Ovis aries: one gene and its partners. The protein of the gene in region 3 interacts with the protein of the main gene of each other region in a pairwise test. Links are inferred from orthologs where the notes say so. Each region holds a gene or a part of one and is shown on either strand. Other genes may lie near its edges.

The links.
Region 1: the proteins of AKAP9 (region 3) and C1H1orf94 interact in binary tests that used the Homo sapiens proteins (3 or more experiments, as listed by UniProt). The two-hybrid records come from large-scale screens. The link is inferred for Ovis aries from reciprocal best matches to the Homo sapiens genes AKAP9 and C1orf94.
Region 2: the proteins of AKAP9 (region 3) and PKN1 interact in a two-hybrid assay, tested with the Homo sapiens proteins (2 studies listed by BioGRID). The link is inferred for Ovis aries from reciprocal best matches to the Homo sapiens genes AKAP9 and PKN1.

What each region holds. Positions count from the first base shown.
Region 1 is NC_056054.1:9,140,195-9,146,936, reverse strand, and holds part of C1H1orf94 (uncharacterized protein C1orf94 homolog), read right to left. Parts: intron 4,259-6,742; coding exon 4,013-4,258; intron 2,941-4,012; coding exon 2,765-2,940; intron 1-2,764.
Region 2 is NC_056058.1:9,644,820-9,652,304, forward strand, and holds the start of PKN1 (serine/threonine-protein kinase N1), read right to left. Parts: upstream 4,510-7,485; 5' UTR 4,496-4,509; coding exon 4,457-4,495; exon of another isoform or gene 4,347-4,456; intron 3,353-4,346; coding exon 3,049-3,352; intron 386-3,048; coding exon 234-385; intron 1-233. UniProt on the Homo sapiens protein: PKC-related serine/threonine-protein kinase involved in various processes such as regulation of the intermediate filaments of the actin cytoskeleton, cell migration, tumor cell invasion and transcription regulation.
Region 3 is NC_056057.1:10,195,344-10,201,542, forward strand, and holds part of AKAP9 (A-kinase anchor protein 9), read left to right. Parts: intron 1-579; coding exon 580-812; intron 813-2,662; coding exon 2,663-2,748; intron 2,749-4,061; coding exon 4,062-4,212; intron 4,213-5,045; coding exon 5,046-5,232; 3' UTR 5,233-6,199. UniProt on the Homo sapiens protein: Scaffolding protein that assembles several protein kinases and phosphatases on the centrosome and Golgi apparatus. Required to maintain the integrity of the Golgi apparatus. Required for microtubule nucleation at the cis-side of the Golgi apparatus.

The DNA of each region.
Region 1 (6,742 bases), on a different chromosome or scaffold from region 3:
TTAATTGGGAGCAGAATTCCTTTGTGCCAAGCAGCTGGGATTCTCTTTGGAGCTCCTGGGTGCTGGGGAGTTAGTCTTCCACGGCTCTTCGTCCGTCCCCTGCAAAGCTCTGAGTAAACTGGATTTGGGACCTCATCTTTATTCCTAACGTCAAGCAGGAAAGAGAGACTGGGATAGACTGTTCCCTGTTTCTCCTGTGTGCCTTCTCAAGGTCTGCAGACCTCCCTGACCCCGTGTCCCAGGAAGACCAGGGCTGAGCAACAATAAGAACCAACATCTGTATCATACTTGAGATTTTACAAAGCCCTTTCCCATCCATGGACTCAATTAACCTTACAATTGACTCAAGTATTTGCTGCCACTGTAATTATTATGAGGCCATTTCATAGGTGAGGAGACCAGGGCTCAGAACATTTGGCTAACTTGCCCAAGGCCACACAGCTCGCAAGTAGCACAATTCCCTTAAATCCAATTCTGATGATTCTAAAACCTGGCTTCTTTTGATCATATCAGACCCCTTGATCAGCTGTGTTGAAGCTGGTTGGTATCATGAAATCATGAGAAGCTGGGAAAAGGTAAGTCACGCTGTCTGTTGTTACCCCTTGGGAGGGTCGGCGTGTACAAGTGACTTCAGCTGGGCTCAGTCAGCGTCTAAAGTGCTGCACAGAAGCAAGGGGCCCTACCAGCCAGGGCCTTTCTGCCCAGAGGCCCAGGAAGCTCAGAGTCAGCCCTGTGATGCAAACACCAGCATCTCTGAAGACAAAGGACCTTCTTGCTAGAAGAATACTTCCAAATCTCACCCATGCCAAAAGTCAAGTCAGAAGAAGTTAACATAGCAGAGAGACTGTCGCCTCTTTACAAAACAAACCACTGCAAATTAGCTTTACATGGTGAGCCCCGTGAGTGAGTGCATTTGAGAGTGAATCAATTTACACTAAATAAAATTATGCAGTTGTTTCTCTCTCAGAGGTGAGGGGCACACCGTGCTGGCCTTGGATTTGTCCCTGACTCATACTGGACTCCGAGCTTCCTAGTCACCTTGGAATCCCTAGCCTGCAGTCAGTGTGAAGCAAGGAGTTTTTTTTTTTTTTTTAATTGTTTAAATGAGAAAATAAATACATACAAATGAGTACATCGGGGATAAATGACTCAATAACAAATGTGCAAGGGTGGAGGAACTTCAGTGAAGGAGCTGGTGAACCAATGAGGATGTGAACAGGGTATTTCTCCAGGAGAGCATATGGTAGATTCAGGATGGATGCACCTGGGGTTTTCCCATGGATCACGCTTCCTTACACCGTCTCACCTCAAAGGTGGGGCTTGAGAAAGAGGGTGGAGAGAACTTTGGAGAGAAAGGACCATGCTAAACCCCTTTACTTCAGTTCCTGTTTTAAGAATCAGGGGCTAAGTCCAGCGGGCCAGCTCAGAGGGGCTTCACATGGAGTAGAGAAGACCCACCTCTCATGCAGGATGCTAAGCCTGCTGCAGTCGAGGAGGAGGAAATGCCACTGGGAGCCCAGGGGCAGTGGAAGGGGGAGGGGCACAGGGGCAGAACGAGAAGATCTTCAGGTTGTATCTCCTTCTCTCTTTGCCCTCCCTGGGCTCGGCCAGGCTGGGCTGGGGCAGCAGGCTCCCAGGGGCCTGCCCCTTCTGTACACCTGCACGCCATTCTGGCAAGCAGCCAGGGAGGGGAGAGAAGACTGAGAAATCTTAGGCGCTGAGCACCTGTCGTGGAGCAACGGAACACTACCTGGAGGGACTATTTAAGCTCTTGGTTCGGACTATGGTTTAAATCAGAATGGACATTTATTTGATTTTTTTTTCATCTCTCTACCCAGTGGGTGGCAGCTCTTACAGGAGATTAAGTTAAATAGACGAACGAAAGAAACTACATTTTCCCGGAGTAAATAAGTTGTGTGAGTAAAACCGTCAGCCTTGCAAGCGTTTCCCCCACCCCTTTGTGTCTGACGCCTCTTAGCTCTCAGTCCAAGACCAAGACTGTGTACCAAGCCACCTCAGCCGGTAGAAGCTAAGATTGCTAGGTTGTAGTTGAAATAAAACGGCCACATAATTTGTCATCTGGGACGCTTGAGAGTGAAAGGGGGTACAATGAATAATTATGCTGGGACAAAAGACCAAAACGGGGACTGTCCCAAGTAATCCAGGCCACGTGTCATCCGACTACAAAGCAAGCCCCAGGAGGCGGTGGGAAACGAGGACTGTGCCGTCGGTCAGGCTTCCCTGGGAGCCCAAGTACTTCACAGCCCAGGATTAGCCAAGCGGCTCTGAAAGACACAGCACAGAGTGAGCCGGAATCCAGACAAAGGAAAATGAGAAACAGGCACACGTGTGTGTGTGTGTGCGTGTGTGTGCGTGTGTGTGCACGTGTGCGCGTGTGCGTGTGTGCGTGTGTGCGTGTGTGTGTGCATGTGTGTGTGCGCGTGCGTGTGTGTGCGTGTGTATGCGCGTGTGTGTGCATGTGTGTGTGCGCGCTTGTGTGTGTGCGCGTGTGTGTGTGTGCGCGCGCGCGTGTGTGTGCGCGTGTGTGTGCGTGTGTGTGCGCGCGTGTGTGTGTGCGTGTGCGTGTGTGTGTGTGTGTGTGTGAGATGCATGCGCACGCGTATCTGGCAGTCGGTCTGATGGTGTCCCTGTGAAGAAAGTAACTAATGAGCCCACGGCTCTTTGTGAATGAGGCTCCTTGTGAGCCACAGCGCCTCCCTGGACGGCCACCACCGGATAACTGGGCCCGGACCTGCTCACTCACCTGGTACTGGGGGAAGGTGGAGGGGTTTGTGAACACGGGCGGAGGTGCGTAGTTCAGGTTGAGCCAGAGGGGCTGGTTCAGAGTTGCTGAGGTCAAAGCGGTGGCAAAGCGTGGGGTGAACACGTTCCCCGTGTACTTGAGGTTGTTCTTGTCGGCCCCGGTCACAGGTGGGTTAACTGTAAGTCACAGGAGAGGTAGAACGTTTCGTGATTGAGGAAGGGAGAGGCCAGCCTGCCCCAGCTCCATGACTGCCCCCAGAGTTAGTGTTCTCACCAGTCAGGTATTTTAAGGCTCCCAGAGCGTTCTTCAAAGCTCAAGGAAAACACTGTTAGTTCACATCTTGCCAACGTGGAAGGGGTGAGAGGCCCAGCATGGTCTGCCATGGAGCATCTCCTTCACGACTCACAAGTAAGGAGGCAGTTTAGCAAGAGATACAATCAACCAGCTTGTCTCACCTACGTGCAAAACTATATTCCTTCAAGTGCTTCGGAAAAATCCAGTTTGATACAAACAATTGCTACGCTGTGGGAAGCCATTCTTATCAAATTGTTAAAGCACCCCACTGGGGACATGCACTTGGCAACAGCGAGGACCTTATGTAGGTGTTGCATCTATGCCAGAGTCATTTTTTAAAAATATTTAAAAATATTATATAATCCCCTTTGGTAAGATCCCAAATTAGTCTGAATGAATGATATTTGATGGAGTTGTTTCAGGATATGAATCCTGGATTCTTTCCTTCTATAATATGTCCTGTGGGATTAAGAGTTAGAGATGGGGTATCAGTGTCCCCTTTTTAGCACCTTTTGTTGAGGGGAGAATGTTTTACTAAAACAGTTTTAGATGTACAAGGGAGAGAAAGCTGAGACGTGAATAATCGAAATGTAGAAATGATCTTTTTTTTTTTTTTCAAAATGTAGAAATAATCTTAAAGCACGGGATTTTCTTTGGCTCAGGCAACTTGAGGGGACATAAGACATGCTGAGTCAGGGCTATATTCAAATTAACCACCAATAAGGCCCATGTGACCCCTGAAAGTCAGCTAGATTTCTTGAGCTCTTCCCTGTAGGGGTGACACAGGAAGAAAGCCATTTCCCCATTTTACAGGACTAGGGAAAGACAGTGACCTGCCCATGGATGACAGCCGTTTGAGGACAGAGCTACTCCAGGGGCCTATGAGGGTTTCTGAAATCCCTTCCTGCATAGACTCTCTTCCTGCATAGAGAGATCTGGGCAGGGTCAGCTTACGTTTCAGCTCCAGCCTGTCCACCTCCACTTTGCCACGAAGTTTCAGCTGCCCGCTTGGGTTCTTGGTGGCCCCAAGGACCTCATAGAGCAGGTTCTTCTCAGCCTGCCAGGCAGGCTTCTTGGCCGGCAGAGCCATGGGGTCACTGCCACCCTCCTCACCACAGGTGTCCTTCCGGCTCGGGGACCACTGGCTGAGAAAGAGGCTCTCTCGGCCCCTGGTCAGCTCCTTGGCACCTGGGTTCCGTTCTAGAGCAGGAGAGAAGCTGAGTCAGTGACTCTGGAAGACCACATGCTGGATGGGGGGAGCATGGTCTTGTGGACAAAGTCATGGATCCTCCGCAGCACACCTGAGACTCCCACCACTCTGGGCTCTCTCTCAACCAAGTTCAGTCCAAGTCCAGTCCCTGAAGCCTTCCCTGACCAGCGCCCATGACGGTCTCACACCCTTGCATGCATGAATGCATTCATCCATTCTTGTCTTCTTCCGTCTGTCCACCCATCCATCCATCCTTTTACCCACCCATCCATCTTTCCTTCCTTCCATCCACTCATCCATCCTCCCTTCCCTAATCCCATTCTCTCCTCCTTAAAAAACTTCCTCCCTTTTAGTTCCCTCTCTTTCCTTACCTTCTTTTCTTTCTTTTCTTCCTTCCTCTTTTCCTCCCTGCCGCTTCTTCCTTTCTCCCTCTTTTTGCCTCCCTTCCTTCCCTCTAACCATTTGTAGGTTGGATCACAAAGGTTCCGGATAGTTCCTGTCTTCAGGGAGCACACTTGGCTTAGTGGCGGTGGGGGGGGGGGGTGGTTGGCGCAGACACATTCCCACACAACACGCAGCTGGTCCCTTGTCAGAGACTCTCCTCTTGCTAAGTCGTCGTGGCGATTCAGCACACTCATCAGCGCCAGGCTCTGACCTGAGTCCTGGGGACACTTGGATGAGTCAGAGCCAGACTTGGCCCAGCAGGAACTCACAACACGGAGGAAGAGAGAGACAGACCCAGAAATAGCTCCGGGACAAGGCAGATGGGGACCGTGAGGTGATGGAGGGACACAGCGGGGGAAGAGGGCGGCTGAGACAGCTTCTGTCTGAGGACCGGAGGGATTCCAGGAGGAGGAGGTCTGCAGCGAGGCCCTGCACCCAGAGCCATGGGTGACCGCAGGCAAAGGCACAGAGGCACGAGTGAGCCACTGGCTGCTGCCGGTGCCAGGCTCAGCTCTCTCTCTCCAAACAGACCAAGTCTCCCTTGTGCAAGGACACTGCCTAGACCACCAAGGATCCCCCTACAACAGTGGCTTTTCACCCGATTTTCCTTTTGAGCGATGGAACTCTTTCTTCCAACAAAACTCTTTCTTCCAACAAAGTATGGCAGGGGGATGCACCATACTGCAAGCGTAAATACATGGTTCGTGTATGCTCAGTTACGTCCGACTCTTTGTGACCCTATGGACTGTAGCCTGCCAGGCTCCTCTGTCCATAGGATTTTCCCAGCAAGAATACTGGAGTGGGTTGCCATGCCCTCCTTCAGGGGATCTTCCTGATCCAGGGACTGAACCCAAATAATCTGGGTCTCCTGTATTGCGGGCCAATTCTTTACTGCTGAGCCACCAGAGAAGCGTATAATATATATACATATATATATATACATATATATATATATATATATATATATATTTTTTTTTTTTTTTTTAAGGCACTGCTTGGCTGAAGCAGAGAAGAGGGCCTTGCTCTCAGCACCTTCATGCTTCTCCCAGCTTGGAGGTCCTGGTCTCCATGGAGCTTGGCTGTGAAATGGCACTGGACACATGGCGGGCACAGTGGATCATGCTGGTAGCAATAGGATCAGAGGGCTTGTGCCCATAATCACCTGTTGGGAGTGGACACGATCCCACCAACTCTTAGTCCCACTAGCCCATGGCCTTGGGGCTGAGTCTGGACAGGATGGGGCCTGCCCGCTTACTGCCATCCCAGCAAAGGAGAAAGCTGCTCTAGCCTGAGCCAGAAGAAAATGACAGTTTTTAGCAAAACATGTCCCTGGTGTCTTTTCCTAGAGCTTGTCTCGTTGCAGAGTGTGGCCCCCAGCCAGTGCTGAGATAACAGTACCCACTAATAATAGCCCTCTCCCCAGAGGCCCACACACCTGCCATCACAGCCCACCCCAGCCACCTGAAACACACTTGCCACTCACTCATCTCCAAAGCTCCCTCTTCCAAAGGCTATATACACAGACACACACACACACACACACATCCCTTCCTGCCATTCCTTTCGCGTGCTCACACACATACACAGCTACACACACAGAAGGGTTACACTCAGATGTGCCCAGACTGCATTTCCATCTGCAAAGTTCCTCTCAGCACACCTTCACGCACACACCTGTACACACACATGCAAATGGTGGGAAGGTGTGTGGGACAGAACTGTCTCCAAACCAGCAGCCCTGTCTGACAGAGGAGAGAAGGAGGTGGGAGGCATGTCTCCTCCCCCGGGTATGCCCCATCATCTCACATACACAGCTTATCGTCCCCAGAGCCCCTGGACCCCTGGAGGCCTGCCCAGGACCCAGAGTCCAGCATGCCATCCACAGTTTGGAGTCCTTGGGTTCTTAAAATGCTCCTACAGAATGTTCTCTAGGGTGACTGTGTCCCTGTTTTCTTAGGAAGATGGATCTGGGCCCTCCCAATACAGGCATCTCTCCTTTACCCATCTCTCACAGCCTGGGGGGAGTTTTT
Region 2 (7,485 bases), on a different chromosome or scaffold from region 3:
TTGATCTGACATCACCCACAGTCATCCAGTTTCCTCTCTGCCCCCACCCAAGCTGCCCACACTCCAATCCTGCTGCAGAGTCACTCCACAGCCCTCTGTCCCCAACCCAGAGTGCCCCAGCCTCCTGCGGGGCAGATGGAGGCACCACCCCGCCCCCCACCACAGGCTCCAGCCTGGGATGCGCCCACAGGTATACATGCACATGGAGGGGTGTGCACGCACGCTGCTCCCACCTTGGTGCTGCCGTTGCTATACGTCTGGATCATGTTCTCTGCCCCCTGCTTCACCTTCAGCTCGATGGCCAGCTGCTTCTCCAGACCGGCTACGCGGCTCAAGTTGGTGGCTGAGCAGGCAGAGTCACCTGTGCCAGGGGACTGGGGGGCATCTGGAGGGGTGGATGGGGCAAAGTCACCACAGCCCTCCTCTCCAACTGCCCAGGTGCTTTTGCGCCAGCTGAGAGGATCCACCCCAGGCCTGTGAGGAGGAAGAGCTGGGGGCCACAGGGTCCACTCCCCACCAGCCCTCATAGGGAAACCCTTTCAGGGCTGGGGCAGGACCAGTGTGAATGAACACAGGTGTGTGTTAGTCGTTGGTGTGATCGTGTATACCTTTGTAGAGAAGGTATATACACCCCAAAGATGTGCAAGGCTGTGTAGGCGTCAGCGGGTGTGGCTGTGGTTAAGTCTGTGACCTTCAGGGTGCTGGCATAACTGAGTGTGTCTCCCCAGGTGCCAGTGTAACTGTGAGATGTGAGGTGTTAGAATGCCTCTGTGAGATTCTGGGTGATGGGGATGGCTCTGTGCACGTCTGCAACTGTCAGCAGAACTGAGCATTCAGATCTCCTGGCGCTGGTGTGACAGCATCCGAGTGCTGGAACAGCTGGACATGTATGTCTCTGGACAGCTCTGTGTCAATCTCCAGAGAGTGGTATGACCATCAGAGGCACTCTGGGTACAGCTGTGACAGGATGAGGTTTTGAGCGTTGGCTGAACTCTTTCATTATCTTCAAGTGTTGATCCAATAGTGTTGCTGCTGCTGCTAAGTTGCTTCAGTCGTGTCCAACTCTGTGCGACCCCACAGACGGCAGCCCACCAGGCTCCTCCGTCCCTGGGATTCTCCAGGCAAGAACACTGGAGTGGGTTGCCATTGCCTTCTCCAAGGCATGAAAGTGAAAAGTGAAAGTGAAGTCGCTCAGTCGTGTCCGACTCTTAGCGACCTCATGGACTGCAGCCTACCAGGCTCCTCCATCCATAGGATTTTCCAGGCAAGAGTACTGGAGTGGGGTGCCATTGCCTTCTCCGTCTGATAGTGTTAGCCTCCAGCTATTGACACACCAAAGAGGTGTGTGGGTGTTGGGCTAAGTGATGCTGAGTCTCAGGTCTTGTCCAGTTGACTGTGTTAAGTATCAGGCTGTTTATGGGTTGGTAAACTCCTGTGGCAGCGGCTCTGTGTGTCTGAATCTCTGGGTGTTGCTGTGAGCGTGTGTGAGTCCTCAGGTTTTGTGTGTGTGTTGGTGTGATTGCGTATGCATTTATCTGGGCACTGGCTGGCAGTATGGACGTCTCTGGGTATTCACAGAATAATGCTGCTACTGTTTAGTCACTCAGTCACGTCCGACTGTTTAGCAACCCATGGAGCGTAGACGGCCAGGCTCCTCTGTCCATGAGATTTCCCAGGCCAAGAATACTGGAGCGGGTTGCCATTCCCTTCTCTGGGGGATCTTCTCGACCCAGGGATCGAACCCACATCTCCTGCACTGCAGGCAGATTCTGTACCGCTGAGCCACAGGGTGGGCCCTCAGAGTAGTCTGGGTGCTGGCGTGACTGTGTGTGAGGGTCTCTGGCTACTGATGTGATGTGTGTTACATCTTTTAGTTGTAAGATGAAAAAGTTCTGCAGATTCCTTGCACAAAAATGTGAAAATACTCAACACCACTGAGCTGTATGCTTAAAAATGATACGTTTTCTGTAATGTGTTTTTTTCCAAAACGTTTTATTTTATATTGGAATATAGGTGATTAAGGGACTTCCCTGGTGGCTCAGTGGTAAAGAATCTGCCTGTTAAGCAGGAGATGCAGGTTCAATCCCTGGGTTGGGAAGATACCCTGGAGAAAGAAATGGCAACCTACTCCAGTCTTCTTGCTGAAAAATCCCATGGACAGAGGGGCCTAGCAGGCTGCAGTCCATGGGGTCACAAACATGGGGTCTAAACGGAAGCAGTAACAACAGCCAACTAACAACGCTGTTATACTCTCAGGTGTTGTGTTTTTTTAATCACAATTAAAAAAATTTTTTAATCAGTTGGAGCCTATAGGTGTTGTCTAGGTGTGGGTGTGATTGTGACTGTGACTGTGGATATTTGTGTGATACCGTGTAAACCCTTTGGTGTTGTCCAGGTGTGGGTGTGACTGTGACTCTGGATATTGGTGTGATACCGTGTAAGCCCTTTGGTGTTGTCCAGATGTGGGTGTGACTGTGACTCTGGATATTGGTGTGATACCGTGTAAGCCCTTTGGTGTTGTCCGGGTGTGGGTGTGACTGTGAGTCTGGATATTGGTGTGATACCGTGTAAGCCTTTGGTGTTGCCCAGCTGTGGGTGTGACTGTGTGTACCTTTCCCTGAGTGTTGGTTTGGGCCTTTTGTCTGCCTGTATTGGGGCCTCCCAGGTGGCACTACTGGTAAAGAATCCGCCTGCCAATGCAGCAGACGCAAGAGATGCAGGTTCAGTCCTGGGTCGTGAAGATGCCCTGGCGAAGGAAATGGCAATCCACTCCAGTATTCTTGCCTGGGGAATTCCACTGGACAGAGGAGCCTGGCGGGCCACAGTCCGCAGGGTCACACAGAGTTGGACACGACTGAGCACTTGTCAGCAGTGATAGCAGCCACCTGCATTTTCAGGTTGGAAGCTGCCGTGACCGAGTGTGTCTCCCTGGGAGGCAGTGGCAATGGGCTGGCCGGCCGCACCCTGGGACACAGTGGGTGAGCCCTGGGCAGTGGAGGCCCCCAGTCCCGCATCCCCCACCCCCCAGCCCAGGGAAGCCTGGCTTACCGTGCACGCCCACCGCGGGGTCGGGCAGCACCACGTGGGCATGCAGCTCCTGCAGCTGCTGGTGCAGCAGGTCAAGCCTGCGTGAGGAGCCGCGCAGCACCAGCTCCACGGGACCGAGGTTACGGCCCAGGTCAGTGGTGGCTCGCCGCAGGTTCTCTGCACCCTCCTTCAGCTTCAGCTCCTTACGGATCTCCCGCCGCAGACGCTCCCGCTCCAGCTCCAGCTGCTGCTGTACCCCAGGGGCTGCCAGGTCGGCACCTGCCAGGCCCAGCTGCTCCAGCAGGGACCAGCTGCGTGGCTCACTCTGCGGGGGACGGAGCAGGGTCAGTGGGGCCAGAGCGGCTCTGGCAGTGCAGACCACATTCAGCTGACCTGGCCCGGCCTCCTCCTGGGGGGGGACTACTGACACAGGCCCTGCTCCATGTCCTCCGACAGTCCCCCAAAACTGGGAGGTGAGACAAGGCCCTGTGCCTGCTTCCTGACACCTCCAAACTGTGAGGTCCCAAGGGCAGGGCCTTCTCCTTGCCTGTCACCTCAGACAAGAGGACCACAGGTACACTTCAGTCTTCCCTCACTGTCCTCATGCAGTGGGATCCTGCAGGGCAGATTCCATTGCCCCATCACTGGGTCCCCACAGCTCGGGGTCCCCAAGGTCAGGCCCTAGCTCTCCTTCCACTGTCCTCCCAAATTAGGGGGGCCCAAGAACAGGCTTTGTCTCCCTCTGTTGCCCCCAAATGACCAGGTCCTGAGGGGAGACCCCCTCTCCCCTCTGCTGCCCCCCTAAACTAGGAGGTCCCAAAGGCAGGCCCCATCTCTGCTCCCTTATGCCCCACGTTAGGAGGGCCTGAGGGCAGCTTTCATCTTCCTTCTGCTGCTCCCCAAATGAGGAAGTATCAAGGGCAGGCCTGTGATGCCCCCCAGACCACAAGGTTGGGGTTCCAAGAGCAAGTTCCTTCTCCTCTTGGCTGTACCCTTGAACTAGGAGGACCTAGGGACAGGCCTCATCTATTCCCTGCTGTAACCCCAAACTAGGAGGACCCAGGGCCAGGCCTTGTCTATTCCCTGCGGTAACCCCAAACCAGGAGGGCCTGGAGACAGGTTTTGTCTGTTCCCTGCTGTACCCCCTAACTTGGAGATCCGGGGGCCAAGCGCCATCTCCCCTCCTTTTGTCATCTACAACTGGGACCCCAAAGAAAAGAGCACTGTTCCCTTCCTCCTCTATCCCCCCAACCTGGAAGCTCAAAGGGCCCCAAACAGTTTCATCTTTCAAACAGAAAACTCCAAAGCCAGCATCCCACCTCCTCTCCTCAGTCCAAAACCAAGCGGTACCGAGGGCAGGGCCCCTCCGGCCTGTGCCACTTGGGGTCCTCTTCTGCTGCCCCTCCCCCACAAGGACCCCAGCCCCCACCTCCAGCTCCGGGTCCAAAGGGGGATCAGCCTCCGCCATCCTGGGCCCCGGCTGAGGGCCCCGCCCTCTTCCTGAACCTCAGCCCTGCCAGGGCCTCTCGCCTGCTACTTCCTCTTTCCTGCTGGCTCCCAGCAACCCCTGCGAAGGCCAGCTCTGGGGCTCTGGGGCATCAAGAGCACCTTCCTCTCAGCCCCCACTCGAGGGCTGAGCCTGCTTCTCTGGGGTCATCCCAGGGGTGGCCCCTCTGCTCCCTGTCCTGAGGATGCCCAAGGTGTACGCAGCAGGCACACACACACGGGCCCGCTAGTGTGGACATGAAGAACAGCCTTCCCCACATATAGCTTCCCTACAACACACTTATACACCTACAGGCATCACAGGCTGGCCAGTGTGTGCCCACCCCCCACCCCCTGTATATACTTATATACACCAACACCCACAAGTGCTTACATGGGCGGGCCAGCCCCTTTCCTGTCCCAACTTCCGGCTTCTTCTCAGCTTGGTTGCCTGCTGCTGCTGACCACAGCTTGGAGGCCTGGGGGCCCGGCCGGCCCTGCGGTACCTCCCTGAGGCCCACATCATGAGGAGACAGCTCTGCAGGGCTGGAGTACCAGTGTCTCCACTTAAGCTCAAGTATGATTAAGAACCATGGAGGTTACTACAAGCTGCACACCAGGTCAACTAACGCCATTCCAGGAGGTGCTACTATCACTCCGTTTTCCAGATGAGGAAACCGAGGCCTGGGGCGGTGACCTAACTTGCCCAAAGCCTCATAGCCAGCAGGAGACAGAACTAAGATTTCCAACAAGAGTGCCCAGAATCAGAGCTAGTTGTCAGCCAGGCAGGAAGAGCCCCGCATATATTATCTGCCGCCACGGTGAGACCCCATTTCAGAGATGAGGAAAGTCAGGGTTCACTCTCGATCAACTTCAAGGGCAGCTGCCCCCAGAGAAGATTTACTTCAGGCCTAAAGTGTCACTCCCATGATCCTACTGACCCCTCAATTTTATCCTGAGCAGCTGCCATATTTCCCCTCCTACTTTACAGGTGAGGAGACTGAGCCTCAGAGGGATGGCAGCAGCAGTTCTCAATGGCGGAGGGGATTGCCAACACTCCCACCTCACTTCTGGGGGCAGCTGGCAATATCCAGAGCCATTCTGGGTTGGTTGTCATAACTGGGGCTGCTACTAGGCTCTATGGGGTTGAGTTCATGGAAACTGCTTGACATTCCACTGTAAACACGAGAGCCTCCACCTCCAAGAATGATTCAGCCCCAAATGTCAATAGTGCTGAGCTTTAGAAACCCTGGATTAAAGGACACAGACTCACACCCTGAGCTGCTGGCCATGACCACTGGTAAGGATTTCACAGCAGCCCTACCTGCAAGGGGCTGACCTGGTCTACGTCCTTCCTCACCGTGAAAACTCTCTTGGCTACATTTTTTTTTTTTTTTCAATTTTGACGGCAGAAACCAAGGCTCAAAGAGGGAATGGCGCTGGGCCTAGGACACACTGTGACGAAGTGGCAGCTCTGGAATTTACACCCAGGGTCACCTCCTACCACCTGCTATCAACCAGGTCCCACCGGCCACCCAGCCCCACCCTGTCCCCAGCAGGCAGAGCAGCGGTGCAGCCAGGAGCGGGGCCAGCTTGAATGAGGGGAGTCCGGGTTTGGGGGGAGGAGCAGAATCCCTCAGCCCCACCTCCTCCAGCAGCTGAGGGATGAGAATATGCAAAGGAGGGAGAGAGGGAGGCTGGGCCTCCCGGGTTCTCCTTCCTTGGATGACTCACTCCTATCCAGGGCAGGGGTCACCTGAGGGCCAACGAGATGAACCCATGAATCAGGAGCCTGGCCTGGCCTTGGGGAATCCCCAACACCCTCCAAGAAGCAGAAAACACCTCCCCTGCCCCAGGTCCAGAGGGTCCACTTCTCAGAAATTCCCTCTTCCTAGAGTGACCAGGGATCTAGACCCCATGTCCGGAGATTTCAATGCATTGGGCGTTTCTGGAATCCGGACAGGACATCCGTTTGCCGGACACAGAACAGACAGGCACACACACTGGGACAGACAGAGGGACAGGGGTAGCAGACCCAAGCAGCCACGAGAGAGAGAGGAATGACTAGGACGGGGTGAGGGTGGTGGTGGGGTGGGGTAGGGGGAAGAGAGCAGGCAGGAGACGGGAAAGGGGACCAGGGCGCAGGTCCAGCCTCGGTCCAGGAATCACAGTCTCCGTCCAGGCCATGTCTGCTACATGCCAAACGCATGCATGTGCCAGCGGAGTCCTACACTGTCCTCCCAGGGCTGATGGGGTAGAGGCAGGGACCCAGGCCCTCCCCAGCCCCCAAGGTCTGACCTTGTGTGATCGGCAACACCAGATACGCCCAGCTCCTCGGCAAGGCTGGCAGGCCATCAGCAGGACTGGGGCGGGGGACAGGGGGTCACGGGGGAGACACAAAGGGGATGTGGGGGCAGGTGCAGAAGGAGATGAGAACCCAGTTACACAGCAACCACAGGACGATGGAGAGCTGATGAGGCACTGTGGGGGCACCGGAGGTACAGGACATGTCTCAGATTTGGGTCACTGACCCAGAGAGGTTTCAGCAGTCATTCTGGCCCTGCTTACCACAGGCAGGGCAGGTGAGTCCCAGGCTGCGATGTCCACAAGGTGGCACAGGGAGAACCTGGGTGGGTGGCACTTCGGTGTCAGTCACCTGTGCCTCTGTGTGTGTTGATGTGTGGGTTGTGGGGTGACCCAGTCCAGGCAGGATTCCAGGTAAGAGAATCCCCAGTTCATTGACATGGACACTCCCCACCCGGAATCCTGGGATAAGGTTCCACCTGGCAGCCGAGTGGCTGGCTGTGTGGGTCCCTGGTCCCCAGACCTAAAGAGGTGACTCTGGCACTTCCGCCAACAGGTGCCAATCTGCAGCGTCGCGACCATCGTAAAGCTCAGTCCGGAGGTGGGGGTGCCGCCGCCGGAGCTTTGTTGTGCGTGGGGGAGGGTGGGAGAAACGGGGCGAATGGCCTG
Region 3 (6,199 bases):
ATCCCTAATAGACCAACAGGAAGTTAGCTTTTCAGTTCCATGTAGAAGCTCTACTACTGTCAATATTAGAGGATCATGCTTGGTAATGGTAAGCCCTCTAAATAGCGTCTCTTATGACTCATAATGAATACTGTATTAATAATGCAGCTACCTTAATCAGTTAACTTAAAATCAAAAAAAAGAAAATGTTTGTAATATTTATTCCAACTATGGCGTGAATGTAAGTTTATGACGTTTAAAGAGATAGAAAATATTAACATTGAAAAAGTTAAATGTGGTGATAATAATAAAAGTAGCTCTGTATTATTATACTCTGTACTCTAAAAGCTTTATACTATTTTTGGCTGAGACAAAAATATTTACATTAAATACAACTAATAGGAGCTAAAATTCATGGACTAAATGGAAGTGGAAGTATCAAGGTCTAGCTTTACTTTTCACTTTGCTGGTAAAATAGAAAACAGTGATCAGGTACCAGCCGTTCTACTCCTGCTACTTTTTAAAAATAAAGTCTAGATTATCCTCCCCTGCAGAACGGTTTGAATAATGTCCTTCTGTTTTTCTTCCCTTTAAACACAGAGGATTTATGGCAAATACCTGAGGGCAGAAAGCTTTCGGAAAGCTCTCATTTATCAGAAGAAATACCTGCTTCTGTTACTGGGCGGGTTCCAGGAGTGTGAGGAGGCCACCCTGGCCCTCCTGGCCCGCATGGGGGGACAGCCGGCCTTCACAGACCTGGAGGTGATCACCAACCGACCAAAGGGCTTCACCAGGTTTCGGTCAGCCGTCAGAGTGTCCATGGCGATTTCCAGGTGAGGTACTCGAGAGAAAAGGCATTGAGTAGAGAATGCATTTTCGCATTCTGAGAAACTTGGTTATTTTTCGTCCTCTCTCTCTGCTCTGCCTTCTGCGCCCTGTAGTCATCCAGTAGGAGTCACTTGCCGTCACTGAAACACGCCTCCCTCTGTGCAGGTTTTCATCCTCTAGTAAGGGAGGGGAACTTCACCTCATACCGGACAGACCCTACGGAAAGGGCCCTCCCAGAGGCAGCCAGCCAGTGACTCAGCTGGAATATCCGGTCTGGGTGGTCCCTCTCTCTTTTTTTTTTAATCTAAATAAGCCCATGAACTAGTTCAGACGTATAAAGGAAAGAGATCATAACGGAGAAAACTGTTTTTTGAAAAGTTACCTCGGCTGACATAGCTTCGTTTTCTTCACTACTACCACGGCCCCTCCAGCAGCCCAACTGTTGAAATCCCTGGCATGAGTCTGTGTTGGGCTCTGCTGGGGCATTTGCTGCTCCTTTTCTGGCCCTTCCAAGCTAGGCACTCCCACGCTCACTCTGTATGTGGCTGAAGTGGAGCCAAGAATCTGACTCCCTTGACGACCCAGCCTCCCGCCGCCCTCTCACCTGGCTGGATGCACCCAGACACCTCGATGCTTTGTCCTTGCTGCCCCTCCCTCTGCTTCTGTAGGAGGCAGACAGTCTCAAAGGACATTTTTTTTAAAGTACTATCCAATCCCATTGTATTCAGGTTACTCACAAGTACCTCAGAAGGCCACAGAGGCAGAATAAGAGGTGGTATTAGTGTTTTTGTGTCCTGGGGACCATGTGCTATCTCTCAGCTCCTCACTGCCCTTCTCAGCTGGCCTCCACACTGCCAGGACCTTACAGCCTGCAGACTGTGTCTCCCAGATGGCTTCCTGTCTGGTTCTGACATTTCTCAGCACTGGTACAAGAATTAGAGGGTTGGAGAAAGCAAAGAGCTTTCTTCCTTCCTTTCATTCCCTTCATTACCTGGTACAGCCTATACAGGGTTTAAGTGCTGGGAGGTGCGTTGACAAAGAAAAGAGACTTAATCCTTGAAGGCCAAAGGCTGCTCACTCTCTCCTGGGCAGAGCAATATGCACGGACCTCCCGGCAGTAAGTGAGAGGTCACAAGAGTTAGCTGTTCATCTCTGTTTCAAGGACTCGGGAAGGCTCCTTGAGAGCCTGTTACCGTTGAAGGACTTCACACTGTCACTGTCTTCTTCTCTTGTATGTTCGTTGTATTTTGACTGTCCTAAAAACCGAGCCTTGAAACTAGTTGGAATAAGAAATCAAAACTGGTGCTCCATGAGCTCTTAGGGACAGAATGGGGCAGGCAGCAACTTGCTACAGCTGAGTTGTGACATAGCAACCCCTGTTCCTTATGAAGCCAGCACTGTATTTCATCCCTGACTGCATGGCCTCACTCCTTTTCCTGCTTCCCCACTCGCTCTCACTGCCAACTTAAGGATCTTTCTGTTCTCCTTCCATCTCCTCTGCCCTTGGGCTCCATGCTTTTCTCCTCTTTCCATTTTTCCTCGCCCTTTCTTTGCCCGTCCAGCTCCCCTTTTCTGTTACGTTTGCTCTTCCTCTCTTTGTGTTCCGCGTTCCTCTAAAGCCAGAACATGGTCCTGGCAGCAGAAGCCCTCTGTGTCTCGCGGGAAAAGCCCTGCTCTGTTTCAGTTAGTTTCATCACAAACCAGGGGACATTTACAAAATATTAACCATGTGATTATATTGAAATTTTATCTGTATTAATATTTAAATGTATGACTTGGATTCTGTAGAAAGTGTGTGTCTATACTCTTTACACTATAGATGTTCTGTGAAATTTTCCATTGGAATCTTTTTTAGAATGAAATTTTTGGTTCGACGGTGGCATCGAGTCACAAGTTCTGGTTCCATCAATATTAACAGGGATGGCTTTGGATTGAATCCAGGTGAAGTCAAAATAGAATTTTTTCTTATGTTGATGATTTCTCTAAAATTACTGCATACCTTCCAAGTAATGTGTTCTGGGACCTGTGTTGTCCAAAGGCAGAGCCCTTATAACTAACAAAGCTGAGGACCTTGCTGTTCTGAAGAATAGTAAAAGAGCTGATTTTTATGGCACGCTTAGTTCACACTAGGCCCCACTCTTTTCCATGTATTCTCACAATTCTGTGACGTAAGCAAAATTATGGATGAAAAACTGAAGCACAGAAAGCTTTTGTCATTTGCAACAAATTACCCGGTAGGAAATGGTGGCCCTAGCAGTCGGCTCCAGAGCCCACTCTTTGTTCAGCTGCATTTTAGGTTCTGGTTTGAGATAGGATTGCTCTTACTCTATTATGTGGAAGTTTCAATTTGAAGTTTTCACAATTTAGCAATATTAAACAGGTTTCTGGGTTTACCAATAGGTGATATAAAAGTTAAAAATCCTTGTCTCTATACTCAAACACTAGGGCTTCAGCATTTCAGGCAAAAGGAGCAGATCAGAAGCTGGGGAGCACACGGAGCTATAGACACACAGCATAGCTGACATGCACTGGTAGTGAACCACCTTTTCATCTTCTGTGCAGAGGCAGAAGAAATAGGTTTGGTATTATTCTAAAAGAAGTGTTTTTGAAACATGCATCCCAGTGGCTCAGTGGTAAAGAAGCTCCCTACTAACGCAGGAGATGCGAGTTCAATCCCTGGGTCAGGAAGATCCCCTGGGAAAGGGAATGACAACCCCCTCCAGTATTCTTGCCTGGAGAATTCCATAGACAGAGCAGCCTGGAGGGCTACAGTCCATAGGGTCACAAAGAGTCAGACATGACTGAGCACGCACACATACATCCTTATACTGAAACAGCTGAAATTTAAACCGTAATGAACTCTGTGTTGTAAGTTAGTATGTCTTGGTTCCAGTTTTTTCCAATGAAAGTCAGTAGAATAGAGTGATGAAAGGACTTAATAGAACTAACAGTCTAATATTGTTCATCCACATTGCCTTTTCTCATAACACACACACTTAGACACTCCTCACTCAGAGTAAGAAAGTAAAATTTTTTCTTAGAGGTATAGTTCCAGATTATCAAATTCTGATGTTCAAAGGTAAAAAAAATACGCTATACTATTGTTTCTCTAGCAATTTATCTTGCTATTTCTGTAGCAAGAATAATTGAAAATGATTATAAATAGGAGATAGTGTAGTACAGTGCAATCTTTTGAACCTTATCTGTTTTGTAGAAATTTTTCAAGGGCTTGGTATTTTTCTTTTCTTTACAAGGTACATTTTGGATTACTTTAGGTGCAGAAAAGACTGACACATTTTATCATTCTCCTGGCGGGCTGGAGCTCTATGGAGAACCGAGACATACTGCATACCGCTCAAGATCAGATCTGGACTATCCAAGGTCTCCTTTGCCGTTTCAGAATAGGTAAGAGTTTGATAAAATCTATACCAGTGTTGTAACTGTTCAGTCACTAAGTCATGTCCAACTCTTTGTGACTTCATAGACTGTAGCACACTAGGATTCCCTGTCCTCCACTATCTCCTGGAGTTTGCTCAAACTCATGTCCATTGAATTGGTGATGCCATCCAACCACCTCATCCTCTGTCACCCCATTATCCTCCTGCACCCCCCCCCCAGTCTTTCCCAGCATCAGGGTCTTTTCCAGTGAGTCAGCTCTTTGCATCAGGTGGCCAAAGTATTGGTGCTTCAGATTCAGCATCAGTCCTAATAACAGAGAATGAAGAACACTCTTGGGTCTTTGACTTCTTTGCAATGAAATAGCTAAACATGTCGTTAGTTATATATTGTTTACATAAGCTAATGCCCAGAACCAAAAATAGTTTTTGAATTTGTAATTGGTTTCCAGGGGTAAAGGAAACAGAGCTGATCAAGCATTATTCAGTATATGTGCTGTGGCTAGACATTAAGAAAGGCATTAACTAAAATTGAGTCTCTGGAATTATGAAGAAAAATCTCTGAAGTTTGCAGGACAAGATGCACTTATACACTTGAGCCTTCATTGATGTTCTCTGCAGTAGCAGTTGTGTTGGACATTCTTTTGATGACTTAGTGACTGCTTTGAATTTATTGACAACTTTTTTCCTTAACACATGGCAGACTCAGAGGTGGGGGGATGCATATAGATTGGGGAGTATACATGTGGTCTGCCTTTTGAGGGCAGGGTGGAGGTAGGTTGGTAAGTTACTTGCATTGTTTCTGGATAATCTGGATTCATCTTCATATTTTTAATCTCATAGGTACCCAGGCCTTCCAGCTGATTTAAACCCTGGTTCCTTAGCATGTTCTCAGCTTCAGAATTATGATCCCGACAGAGCCTTGACAGATTACATCACTCGGCTAGAGGCACTGCAAAGACGACTTGGAACTGTACAGTCAGGTACCCTCAGCTTAACCAAGTATTGGCAGCACCACAGTGCTAGATAGTCCTGGAACTCTTTCTCTTTTTTAAATTCTTTGACTTTCCTCATTATTAATCAAATTTTCTAGTTCAGTGCATGAGTTATCAGGCTACACTTTAGGAATTTAAGACAAAACAGGATTTATCACCCTGGATCCCACTCTTCCCCCAAAAAAATCCCTGCTCGTCTCATTGAGAAGATTAGGTGAGATGCACGATGAGCACCGATGTGCAGATACTCTGAAGCTTCCAGAGACTGCTGGAGGGCTTGTTCCAAAGCAGTCATTTCTGAGCATGCAGATAAGGCATAGGGAGGCGAGAGGAAGACAGGGGTTCTTTAATCACTTAGTGCAGCTATAATCTTTGTTCCGACCTTGTGCTTTTATGTATGATGCGAGGAACCCATCCCAGTCCAAAGACTGTAAGGATGACCTTTTATTTGTTCTCCTCAAAAACACACAAAAAATTTCATTCTTAGAAGTGGATTGTGAGAAAAACCTCTTTCCCTCTATTCAGTTCACTCCTGATTCAAAGGTTTTCAATCATTTCAATTTAATGACCTTTAGGTCAACTTTCATACACACAGACAGACATATTATATATATATATAACTATTATTAGAGACCCTTTTTTCTGCTATTCCTACAAAATAGATAGGACTCATCACTGGTTATTTTTAATAGTTTATCTCTTCATACAAGAAATTGTCCAACTCAAACAACTTGTTGCTATAGGAAACTTATTATCATAGCTGGACTTCGTTGGTCTGAGCATCTAAATTTCACAGGATTTTGAAGAGCAAAATGTTGTATAGAACATTCAGCCCACAGGGCACTTTACAGAAAATCTTAATGTTAATCTCACTTAGCATGCTATGGAGACAGCCACAGACGCTTTTGAATATATATATTCAAAATCTCTTTTTAAAAAAATCACATTTGAATAAAACTTCTTTAAGAGCAAACAAAGCATTGTTTTTTAATGATAGGGAAT